Cricetulus griseus: one gene and its partners. The protein of the gene in region 2 interacts with the protein of the main gene of each other region in a pairwise test. Links are inferred from orthologs where the notes say so. Each region holds a gene or a part of one and is shown on either strand. Other genes may lie near its edges.

Evidence for each region. The genes of interacting proteins can lie anywhere in the genome.
Region 1: the proteins of Kpna2 (region 2) and Hnrnpc interact in binary tests that used the Homo sapiens proteins (3 or more experiments, as listed by UniProt). The link is inferred for Cricetulus griseus from reciprocal best matches to the Homo sapiens genes KPNA2 and HNRNPC.
Region 3: the proteins of Kpna2 (region 2) and Nup50 interact in binary tests that used the Homo sapiens proteins (3 or more experiments, as listed by UniProt). The two-hybrid records come from large-scale screens. The link is inferred for Cricetulus griseus from reciprocal best matches to the Homo sapiens genes KPNA2 and NUP50.

What each region holds. Positions count from the first base shown.
Region 1 is NW_023276807.1:207,170,314-207,174,060, forward strand, and holds the start of Hnrnpc (heterogeneous nuclear ribonucleoproteins C1/C2), read right to left. Parts: upstream 2,890-3,747; 5' UTR 2,734-2,889; intron 1-2,733. UniProt on the Homo sapiens protein: Binds pre-mRNA and nucleates the assembly of 40S hnRNP particles. Interacts with poly-U tracts in the 3'-UTR or 5'-UTR of mRNA and modulates the stability and the level of translation of bound mRNA molecules. Single HNRNPC tetramers bind 230-240 nucleotides.
Region 2 is NC_048600.1:119,948,395-119,952,141, reverse strand, and holds the start of Kpna2 (importin subunit alpha-1), read left to right. Parts: upstream 1-1,009; 5' UTR 1,010-1,149; intron 1,150-2,627; 5' UTR 2,628-2,650; coding exon 2,651-2,725; intron 2,726-3,086; coding exon 3,087-3,224; intron 3,225-3,747.
Region 3 is NC_048595.1:381,764,045-381,767,791, forward strand, and holds the start of Nup50 (nuclear pore complex protein Nup50), read left to right. Parts: upstream 1-1,456; 5' UTR 1,457-1,594; intron 1,595-3,747. UniProt on the Homo sapiens protein: Component of the nuclear pore complex that has a direct role in nuclear protein import. Actively displaces NLSs from importin-alpha, and facilitates disassembly of the importin-alpha:beta-cargo complex and importin recycling.

The sequences.
Region 1 (3,747 bases), on a different chromosome or scaffold from region 2:
TTTGGAGCCTGTCGTGGAACTAGCTCTTGTAGACCAGGCTTGTCTCAAACTCCCACTGCCTCCCAAGTTCTGGGATTAAAGGTGTGGGCCACTTCTCGCCGGCTGAGAAAAAGTTTTAAAATGTATTTTAGGCTATACTACCAAAAAAAAAAAAAAAGTTCCCACTAAGATTTAGATAAACTCCTTAAACGACACTTTAAATGATCAAGCCAACCAAGAGTTCAAAAATCACCTGGCACTTACTAAAATACAAAATCTAAGCCTGGCAGTGGTAGCACATGCCTTTTGCCTTTAATCCCAGCACTTGAAAGAGACAGGTGGATCTGAAATTGAGGCTAGCCTGGTGTACAGAGCTAGTTCCAAGACAGCCTGGGCTACACAAGGAACCCCCCCCCAAAAAAAACAAAATCTAGGTAACAATTATGACTCAATTAGAAACTGGTAGTAAAGAGCACAGCAATCTGTTCAAATTAGAATACTTTAAACAGAAAATCAGCTTTTGTCTTTTGAGAACTGTAAAGACTTAACCAGGAGCCTATACCCACTGTAGTTTTTCAAAATCTTTACTGAAACACCTGTGGTTTTACTACACCTGAACGTTGTTTTTTAATCAGCCAATTCTCCAGTAAATCTAGTTTCAAAACCATAAATCTTCCGATGAGTTGAGTGTATGAAGCTTTAGCAAATAATGAGACGAACAAACACTTAGGTTTCTCTATGTAGCTTTGTACACCAGAGATCCACCTGCCTCTGCCTCCCATTCAGAAATCCACATTTCTAACACTTTTGAAGGACTAAAAATAGAGGAAACAAGGTCTCACCAGGCCTGAGAATTCTTTGTAGACCAGACTGGCCTCAAAATCATAAGCTATCAGCGAGTTCCGCTGGACTGAAGTTGTGCCCCACCATACCTGGCCTGTATGTCTAACATTTAATGGCAGGTGTTTTTAACCAATCTCAACTACTGCCAGTAGTCTTCTTGCATACTAATTTCCGACACTTATTTACAACACTATTTTTGATGGATGCCTTCCTAGCTATTTCTCTTACCCATTTCTCACTTCACCAGAGCAAAATCTTACTCTTAAATTCTACTTCTAAGGCACACCTTAAAATGATGAGGCTTGGCAGGCAGTGATGGTCACATTTAATCCTAGCACTTGAAGAGGCAGAGGCAGGCAGATTTGGTCTACAAAGCAAGTTCCAGGACAGCCAGAAGTCATACAAAGAAACCCTACCTTGAAAAAACAAACAAATGGCTCGGAGGCGGGGCAGGCCTTTGATCCCAGGATCAGGAGGATACAGAGGCAGGCGGCTCTACCAGACCAGCCTGGTCTAAAGAGGGAATTCCAGGACAGGCTCAAAAGCTAAAGGGAGAAAATAGGTCCCCAAAAAATAAAAATTAAAACAAAAAATTAACTCCCAGATAAACTGACACCCTACACTATTAGTGCTGGGGATTAAATTAAGGGCACCTTGCATCCTAAGCACTACCACTGGGCTACATTAGCAACAGCTGTAACAAATGGCTGGGAGTTAATAGTTTGGGGGGGGGGTTCGAGACAGGGTTTCTCTGTGTAGCTTTGGAGCCTATCCTAGAACTCAGAGATCCGCCTGCCTCTGCCTCCCGAGTGCTGGGATTGAAGGCGTGCGCCACCAACGCCCGGCCCAGAGGGTTGCTTTTTTAAAAACTGCTTTGGAGCTCTCCTCTGTTTTAAAAACAAACAGCCAAAAACAAACAAACAAAAAAAAAAACCAAGATTTTACTGTGTAGTTCTGGGCTGGCTTGCAATGGATACTGATCCTCCTCCTGTCTCATGGCCTCTGGAATGCAAGAATTACAGGCATGCAATACCACACCTGGCTGGAAACTCCTTATTACCAAGTTTAGAACTGATAGGATATTGGAATATCCGGAAAAGACTATTTTGGTTTTGCTCCGGTTACCTTTAATTTCGCTATCAGCTTCCCCTAAAAACTCGATTGTCTTTTTCGTACACAGTATTCCAGTATTCTTTACCTACCTAAAAATATCTTAGTCGCTCTAATTTAGTAAATACTGTCAACCAATTTACCTATCGTTTCTCTCTCAAGACAGCAGTACCTACCTCAAGCAAAGTCCCACTAACATATATTTCAAGTAATTCGTAATCTGCAGATTAAAAGGTAAGTTGCAATTTTATTGCAATTTTAATTAACCCGTGACACTTCCCTTTTACAGAAAACACTCCGCCTTCTACCATTTATTCCTACGGGAGAAAAAGTAATGAATACTCGATCTATTGTTAACACGCCGCTCGGATGCCATGTGGCCCGCCCGGAATTTGGAAGCTTCCAGTACATCATCAGCGTAACGCTCCGCCACCCCCGCCCGACGTTGAACTTAGAAGACTTAATAACGGAATCGTTAAGACATTAAACCTCAATTAGGGTAACAAGCTTGCATTTCTTCCTTTTCACGCTCCCCTCTCCGAGTCCTGGCGGTCGAAGGCAGGCAAAGTGGCCGTTAGACACGAGCGCGCCGGCAGGGTATCCTCCGCGCCGCCCGCGGCCTGGAGGTCACCAGGCTGAACCTGCGCCAGAGCCGAGGCCTGGCGCCGCCCGACTTAGACCCGGTCCCCGGGCCACGGGAACCAACGCGGGCGCCGTTCCTGCCGCCAGGCCGTTCGCTCCCACACCCGCTCGCAGCGCCCACGAACCCGCGCCTCCCCTGCACTCGGCCCCTCCGCTTACCAAGAGTTCGGAGAGAGAGAGAGAAGACACTGCCTCTCCTACTGCGGCTCCGTGCGGAGACTCCGAAGCGACTGCAGGCAGGCAGCACACGACCGTTCGCTCTCCGGCGCTCCACAAAATGGCCCCCGAGCTCCTCTGCCGCCGAGGCGAAGGTCCAGCCCCGCCCCGCTCCTGGGGGCGTTCCTATTGGCTGAGCCTTTTCTCGCTCCCGCTCCTCATTAGATGGCGCTACCGCTCCTCACAGTGCTAGCCAATCGCGATCGGGAGTAGGTTGGTCTAGTTGCGAGAATTTCCACCTGCGTCACCGAAGCTCGTTAGTAATTGGTGGAGCTTCCTGTCACTTAGGGTATGAAGGATGGTCATTGGCCACTGTACCAGACGGAAAACTGGGTGGAATGTTCGCCTTTGTATCGCGCACAGCTTCTCATCCGGGTACCGGCGGGCCTGACTGACGCCGCGTCGGCCTATCGGCGCTTAGTGGACTGCCTAGATCCGCCCTGATCACTGCATTTCCGCGGCGCGGGGGTGGTAAAGTCTGGGTGGAGTCTGGTAGCGGGTGCAAAGGGCCTGCCCTCGCCCCGGGCCTAGGAAAAGGAAAACCAAAGTAAGCCTGAGCGTGGGGAAGAGAGTAATCCCTAGACCGCCTGGAGTGTAGATAAGACAGACCTGCAGTTTTTTTCAATTTCAGATCCTTCTCATTTCCACATTGTGTGAGCTGCCGGGAGGAGGTGGCCTCTCAGCCCACGAGGCTAGACAGCTCCTTCCAAACCTAGTCCTCTCCTGTTACCTGGACCCCTCCAAGTCGGTTGCAAAATCTGCAAACCGAATGGCCGGCCACCTCAATTTCCGATTTCCTGCAATAGTCTGACGGCCACTCAATCCCCTCAGGCCTGGCCTGCCAGTGAATTTCTGGTTATTCTGGAGGAACCTTGAGCACACCAAAATGTATACAGCCCCCTTAGAAAGGGAGATATTACCCCAAGGAGATACACTAGATCTAGGAAAGTCTGATTT
Region 2 (3,747 bases):
GAGACAGGTGGATCTCTGTGAGTTTGAGGTCAGACTGCTCTACAGGCAGATCTCTGTGAGTTCAAAGCCAGCCTGGTCTACAAGAGCAAGTTACAGGACAGACTCCAAAGCCACAGAGAAACCGTGTCTCGAAAAACCAAAATAAATAAACAAATAAATAAATAATCAATAAACAGTAAAAACAACAACATAATAATAGGGGGCTAGAGAGATTGCTCAGAGGTTAAGAGCACCAACTACTCTTCCAGAGGTCCTGAGTTCAATTCCCAGCAACCATATGGTGGCTCACAACCATCCATTATGAGATCTGGTGCCCTCTTCTTGTGTGCAGGATCATATGCAGACATAAAGCTGTATACATAATAATAAATCTTAAAAAAACAACATAATAATTAATACACTACACACAATGATTATTAAAAGAGCCACACAGATCTGCTTCACTCCTTTCTCCCAGTGACCAGCCCCTGCTAAACCTCTGGTGTTTCGATGAGGAAAAAAAATGAAAATCAATGTATTTATGTTAAGCATTTGTTATTATTTTGGTGGGTCCTTTTTCAGACGGGGTCTCACCATGTAACCCTGGCTGGCCTCACTATGTAGACAAGCTCGCCTTGAACTCACAGCAATCCTCCTGCCTCTGCCTACGCCAATTACGCCAGGCTAAACTTTTATTTTTTAAGATAACGCGTCTAATAATAATTCCGTGTATTTGCTTAAGGGCAGGCCCCAGAGAGAGCAAACAGGGCTCTGCCCAGCGTCCCGCCTAGGCAGAGACGACACACACCCTTCAGCGTCGCGCGCCGAGCTCCGGGATCACCACTCTTGCAAGGCACTCTGGGATTGTCCGGCCGCTCCCTCATCTCGCGATGCTACCCTCCCCTCCACCCCACCCCCACCTCCTCCCTCCCCCAGGCCCGGCGTCCGTGCCCCCCCCAACGTGTTTTTCAAATCCGCCAATGAACGCACAGCTTAGGCTCAAACCAGCCAATCGGGATGCGGCGTCACCGGGAAATTTAAATCGCGCCGGCCGGCAGCACGAGGCACAAAGTCTGAGGGCTGAGGCGCAGTGGACGTTTCGAGGGCCGCCGACCCCGCAGGCTGAGAGCCCCGCACCGCCTTTCGTGGACGCCTGAGCCGGCTGAGCAGGTGGGAGCCGCGGCCGGGCCTGGACGGTAACGGCCGGCCGGAACGCGGAGCGGGCGGGAAGGCGGGAGCAGGCCGCGCCGGGCGTGTGCTGGGCCTCCGTGCCCAGACGAGGCCGCGGGGCGGGGTGGTTCCGCCGTGCCGGTGCCGGTGCCAGGCCTGGCCGCACCGGTCGCTGCGGAGGGCGGCGCAGGCCCCGCGAGGGGCGGCGTCGGGGACACCGGCCGCAGACGAGCGCACCCGGCTGCCTCTCCGCCGCTTTCCCGCCGCTTCTGCCCGGGGAGGGTCGGGGCTGTGGGCTGGAGCGGAGGCGGAGGCGGAGTGGTGGCAGTTAGGACTCCCCCGTGAGACGCTTGAGCCGGGCCGCCGGCGCCAGCCTCGGGGAGGAAGTTCCCGAGGTTTTCGCCTCGGTAGCAGATTGTCACATTGTGGCGATCACGCCTGCGATAGAAAGTCGAGCCCCAGACAGTGTCCACGGCTGGTGTCACTCGAATTGAATGCACAGACCGGAAAGCCTGTCCTGTCCAGGGCGTGCGGGACGCTGAAGACGCGGTGCCAATGTCACTGCTGACAGCGAGGGTTGTGGAAGGCTCTGTAACGCAACCAGCCAAGTCGCTGTGTAACCTGATGGAAGGTGCCTGATGTATGTGTATGCATTCGGGCCATGAATCAACAGAAAAAGACCAGAAGTGCCTTTATTGCCTTAAGGAGGTAGATTGTTAACTAAAAACCAGGCGGGGTGCCCCTAGTCGGTGTCCAGAATGTGGAGCCCCGGCTTAATACCGCGCTGGCCAGAGGCTTTAGGTCATTGAGTTTGTGAAAAGCCGATAATCTGAGTTGAGATGCTCTGCGTGCATAAACTACACATAGGATTCTGAAGGTGTATTAAAACGGTGAAACATGTTTATTTTTCTATGTTAATTTCATTTGTTGCTTTTTAGCCTTTTAAAAATGTGGTTAGTGGAAAATTTAAATGTTTGATTAAAAACCTGTTTCTGATTGACAGCTGCGTTGCCAGAAGTTTAATCCCTTTGCAGGAGGAGCACTTAACCACTGGACTTAATGCTGTAGCCATAAAACTGAAAGCTTGTGGGTTTTTCTTGTCTAGCATACAGATGGAGTCAATATATAGTTGATTTTTATTTTATTTATTTATTTGGTTTTTCGAGACAGGGTTTCTCTGTAGCTTTGCAGCCTATCTTGGCACTTGCTCTGGAGACCAGGCTGGCCTGGAACTCACAGAGATCGGCCTGTCTCTGCCGAGTGCTGGGATTAAAGGCGAGTGCTGGGATTAAAGGCGTGCGCCACCCACGCTCGGCTTTGATTTTTATATTCTAGTTGGCCTTAAACTCAAGAGACCCGCCTTCCTCTGCCTCCCTGGTGCTATGATTAAAGGCGAATGTTAGTATGCCCCGCCTGGCTTCTGCTGTATTCTTATTTAAAAAGTGCTCTTTTTTTTCTCACCCTCCCTTGTCTACTAGCTTTCTCCCGGATTCCTGTAACCATGTCCACCAACGAGAATGCTAATTCACCAGCTGCCCGGCTTAACAGATTCAAGAACAAGGGGAAAGACAGTACAGTGAGTACCTTCTGTCGACACTTTTAAATGGAAATAAGAAGGGGTGTTTATATAACACATTTTAGGGATTGAATCCAGTGCCTTACTGATGTTAGATGGGTTCTTTATTCCTGAGTTTTATCTCTAGTCTTATTTATTGTGTGTCTGTGCATACCTGGTGCAAATGCAGAGGTGAGAATGACAGCTTGCAGGCAATGGTTCCCTCCTCCGCCTGACTCTGCAGGATTGAAGTCCTGAGACTTGGTGGCAGGTGCCTTTTAGACAATGAGCCATCTCTTGCTGACCTTTGAGGGGTTTAAAGAAATGACTTGTCAGGAAAAGCTTATAGATAAAATGAGGTGTTGTGTTGTCTTTTCCTCAGGAAATGCGGCGCCGCCGAATAGAAGTTAATGTGGAACTGAGGAAAGCGAAGAAAGATGACCAGATGCTGAAAAGGAGAAATGTCAGCTCATTTCCCGACGATGCTACTTCTCCTTTGCAGGAAAACCGAAACAATCAGGTACATACCTAGACAGTGCTCTCCCTCCCTGTATAACTGCTGTGGCTGTCCTGGAACTCTGCAGAGATCTGCCTGCCTTTGCTTCCTGATTGCTGGGATTAGAGGCTTGTGCTCCCCCCAAAAAAGAATAAATGTCTCTTAGAAATTAGAATTTTTTTTTTGAGGGGGATTGGTTTCTAGACAAAATTTCTTTGTGTGGCCTTGGCTTTGTCAACCAGGCTGGCCTTGGACTCAGATCCACCAGCCTTTTTGCCTTAGGAGTACTGGGATAAAAGGCATGAGCCACCACTGCTGGCTAAATGTAAAAATTCTTGGACATGCCTGGTAATCTACTTTTGACTGTTGAATGTATGACAATTCTTTGTTTTTTTTAAGATTTTTAGTTTTTTAAGAAGTGTATTTGTGTTTGTGTCTGAGTATGTGCAGGAGGCCAGAGAGGTTATGTCCCCTAAACTGGAGTTACAGGCAGGTATAAGCCACCTAATAATGTGGGTGCTGTGGATTGCATTTGGTCCCCTGCAGG
Region 3 (3,747 bases), on a different chromosome or scaffold from region 2:
TTAGTAGTTAGAATTACGGTGTGTGTGGGGGGCTACCACCTCCAATTTACTTATGGTTTTGTTTGGTAGTACTGGGGCTTGAACCTAGGGCCTCACAGGTGCTAGGCAAGTGCTTTGCTTCTGAGCTACACGCCACCCCTTTTGGGTTAATTTTGTTGCTGTGTTTTTGAGACAGGGTCTTACTGTGTAGCTCTGGCTGACCTGGAACTATGTAGATCAAGCTAGCCTGGAACGCAGAGATCTGCCTACCTCTTAGTCTTCAAGTGCTAGGATTATAAACCTGTACCACCATGTCCAGCTCTGGTATGTATTACTGAGGGAGGGTTTTTGTTTCTCAGACTGGCCTGGGTTGTTCCTCTTGCCTAAGCCTTCCAGTAACTGTGACTTTAGTTGGAAGTCAACATGACCTGGCTGGTTTCAGACACTTAAATTATCTCTGGAGGAGTATTTGCATTAGCAATACCCTTTTTAGTTAGGAACTATTGCTCTAGAAATGCTTATTTTTCTGAAAATAGTTTCTAGATGTTAATGATGGGTCTAATGACCATAGTGTCTTCTGTCATTTAAACTGTAAAAGAATTCGACCATCCGGACTCCCTTTGTATAACTGAACTCCACTGCTTGGGAGTGCGGTAGCCAGCTAAAAGCACAGAAACAGGAGTCCTAATCCAGGTGTTCGTCCTGCAGCTGAAGAATCCCTCCGGGGACTTTATCTCCCGTGGGTCCCTACTGGTCCTGCAGCTTTGGGGAAGTCGACTTCACCTCAGCAGCTCCCCACGAGGAAATCGAGGATGTCTATCACGTAACAACAATGGGGAACAGGCGACCTTTGAGAGTCTGTGCCTCGGGACTCTCCAGCCCCAAGCCACAACTTTCAGCGTTCAAGCCCCGCAGGCTGAGACCCCCGCAGAGCCACCCACGAGAGAAGCACGCGGCACAAGCCTCACATTCCCTCAGATCCACTGCCTGCCTCCTCAGCCGCCCAGCACACCATCAGAGGCCTCCACCAGAGTCTCCCGCGGGCCAGACATTCGTCCCGCCCGCGCCTCAGCAGCAATTAGCGCGCGAACCGTCTCAAACCCGAGCGGCGGCTGACACGTGACCAACGTGCTTAACCCGCGCTGCCAGTGGCGCCGGCTCAACCTCCACAGCCCGCGGTCTCTACGCCCATGCGCGAAACTCACGCTCCTCCCAGCGACCGTTTCCAAGGGGGCGTGCCCGTGAGCCACGTGACACCCGGCGGCCCTTCGGACGCTGCGCTGGCGGCTGGGGCTCCGACGCGCTTGCGTAGTAGTTGGACGCGGGCGTTTTTTTCTCCTTTTTTTTTCCTTGAATTGGTTCTGAGGGGGTATTTCGAGTTACAAGATGGCGGCTCCGGGCGCTCTCTTCAGCGCTTAGTAGCGGCTTCAGGCTGAGCGGATGTGTTTTCCCCTCGGTGTCGGACTCAAAGACGCACAGCTCCCGAGGCCTGCCAATCACGAAGTCCTTGGAGGCGCTCAGCGCACCGGAAGCTCCCAGCGGCCGCGACCGCAGCCTCGGACCTGTTCGCAGTGGCGCCCGGGACCTAGCGCGATCTTCGGCGGCCGCCCGGGAGGTGAGGGCCTGGAGAGCCGGGAGGGCCGGGAGGGCGGGGCGGCGGCGGCCTTTGGCGACGCGGCCGGCTGTTTGTGAAGCCGGGTCTGGCCTGCCCTGCGAACCGCGGCTGGCCGGAGGAGGAAGGCTCGGCGGGGCTCGGGCCTCGGCCCGGGCGGAGGTAGGCGGCGGTGACGGCAGGGCTCCCTTGGCCCACCTCTGGCCTTCATGCCTCCTACGTCGTCCCCCTGGCTGGCCCTGCTTGCACTCACCGTGTCCCCTGGCCGTTGGTCTCCCGGGTTCGTCTGGAGCCGGTTTTGTGGTTTGGGCTTTCCGGGGCGTTTCAGTGACCTCGATCTGCTTCTCGCTATCGAGGCTAGCCGAAGCGGTTTTCCGTGTGAAGTTCATCTCTTAAGAGAGCAGGACTGTACCCGGTGCCCACACTCACTGCAGGAAGCGATCGTTCACGAATAATGCGTTTCTCCTAACCACTACAGCACTTTATATTTAGAAAACATTTCATAACTTGGTGCCATTTTACCCGCAAACGCAGACATTTGGCAAACTCTTCCGGGTAACTTCATTTGTTGAGGGGATTAACTAACCCCCCCCCCCGTAACACGTTGGTAGAGGACTGGGCGTAGCACATACACATACAGTTCTATCCCCAACACTACACAAGGAAAAAAAAAGCCTTAATAATAACAGCTTAATAATAGCTGGCAAAGAAGTCTTTAGCTCCAGGCCTTGTTCCAAGTACTTCACAAAGATGTCTTTCCAAAAGAGGAAATATGGAATAAGTAGGTATTTGGTAACTTTGTTTTTAAAGGTGATGTTTTGCTGTATCTGTCTTGTCATTCTGCCTCAGCCTCTCCATTGTCATCACCCCGGTTGGTGAAACGTGTTTGAGCTTATCGTTCGAGTTAGTTTTCCAACACTACGACTTTTGAGTTTGGGAGTAAAAATTGTATTTATTTTGAACCAAATTTGTTTATTTAATATTTACAGAGCATTTCCTCTGTTCTAGGGACCATTCTTAGCTATGCTTTTTATCTTAAACTTAGTTATCGCACTCTTTCCATTCCCACAGATGAGGAAGCATTCGCCAAACTCACTTGCCTGGCATCTCTCAACTTGTCCTGGATGCTAGTATTAGCATCTTGTAGTATTTTTCTCAAATATGTAATGCCTCAGATCACTGATTCAGCAATAGTTATCTATGAGTCAAGTAGGTTTGGGACATTTGGAGTCATCAGTAAACCAAACTAAAATTCTTCCCTTGTGGTTTTTCTGACTGAATAAAATTGAAATGGCATCAGCTTCATTCATGTGTTTTATTATGGCAGTTACTCTTTCGTTTCAAGTATGAGTTAGATGTCAAAGTTTTACTTTGTATTTTATTTGAGTGTCCTACCATCCCTTTTGTCCTCATAAGTGACTATAACCGGTCCACTGCATGCCTCTTCTGCCCTCTAGTGTTGATGTTAGGTAATGATTAGAAAAATTAACGCATAGATCCAGAGACCTTACCCATGAAGAGTTCTATGAAGAATGCTATTTTTTTTAAAAAAATAATTTATTTAACTTTATTTTATGTGCATAGGTATGATGGTGTCAGATCCCTGGAACTATAGATATAGACAGTTACAAACTGCCATGTGGGTACTGGGAATTGAACCCAGGTCCTCTGGAAGAGCAGCTAGTGTTCTTAACAGCTGAGCCATCTCTCTAGCCCCAAAGAATGTTATTTCTAGTAAGGTCAACTTTGCAACGTTTGTGGGGAGGAGTTAAAAGAGAGGATTCCCCGTTGCTGGTGTTATTAGCGTTCATATTGTATATTTTAGAATCTTCAGTTTTAAAATCATTCATTCTGTAATCAGGAGAAAAGTACCTGAAAGAGAAATGTAAAAGATTGGGATATAGTAAAAGCTGGAGCCCCTCCTTCACATCAGCTTGTGGAGGGCTTTGGGATTCTGTGATTTGAAACTTACTCTGTAATTGCTAATCTGCTGCAGAGCATTAGATGATGGGTAAGATGGTATCTAGTGCCTGTTGTAGGATGCCCACTGCTGGGTTGCTGTGCTGAGAACAAGTGAATGTAGAAAGTATCAGGAAAGAGTCCTGAGAGATACTGTCATCTCAGACAGTGCTCTGCTGCTGGTTTTGCTGCTGAGG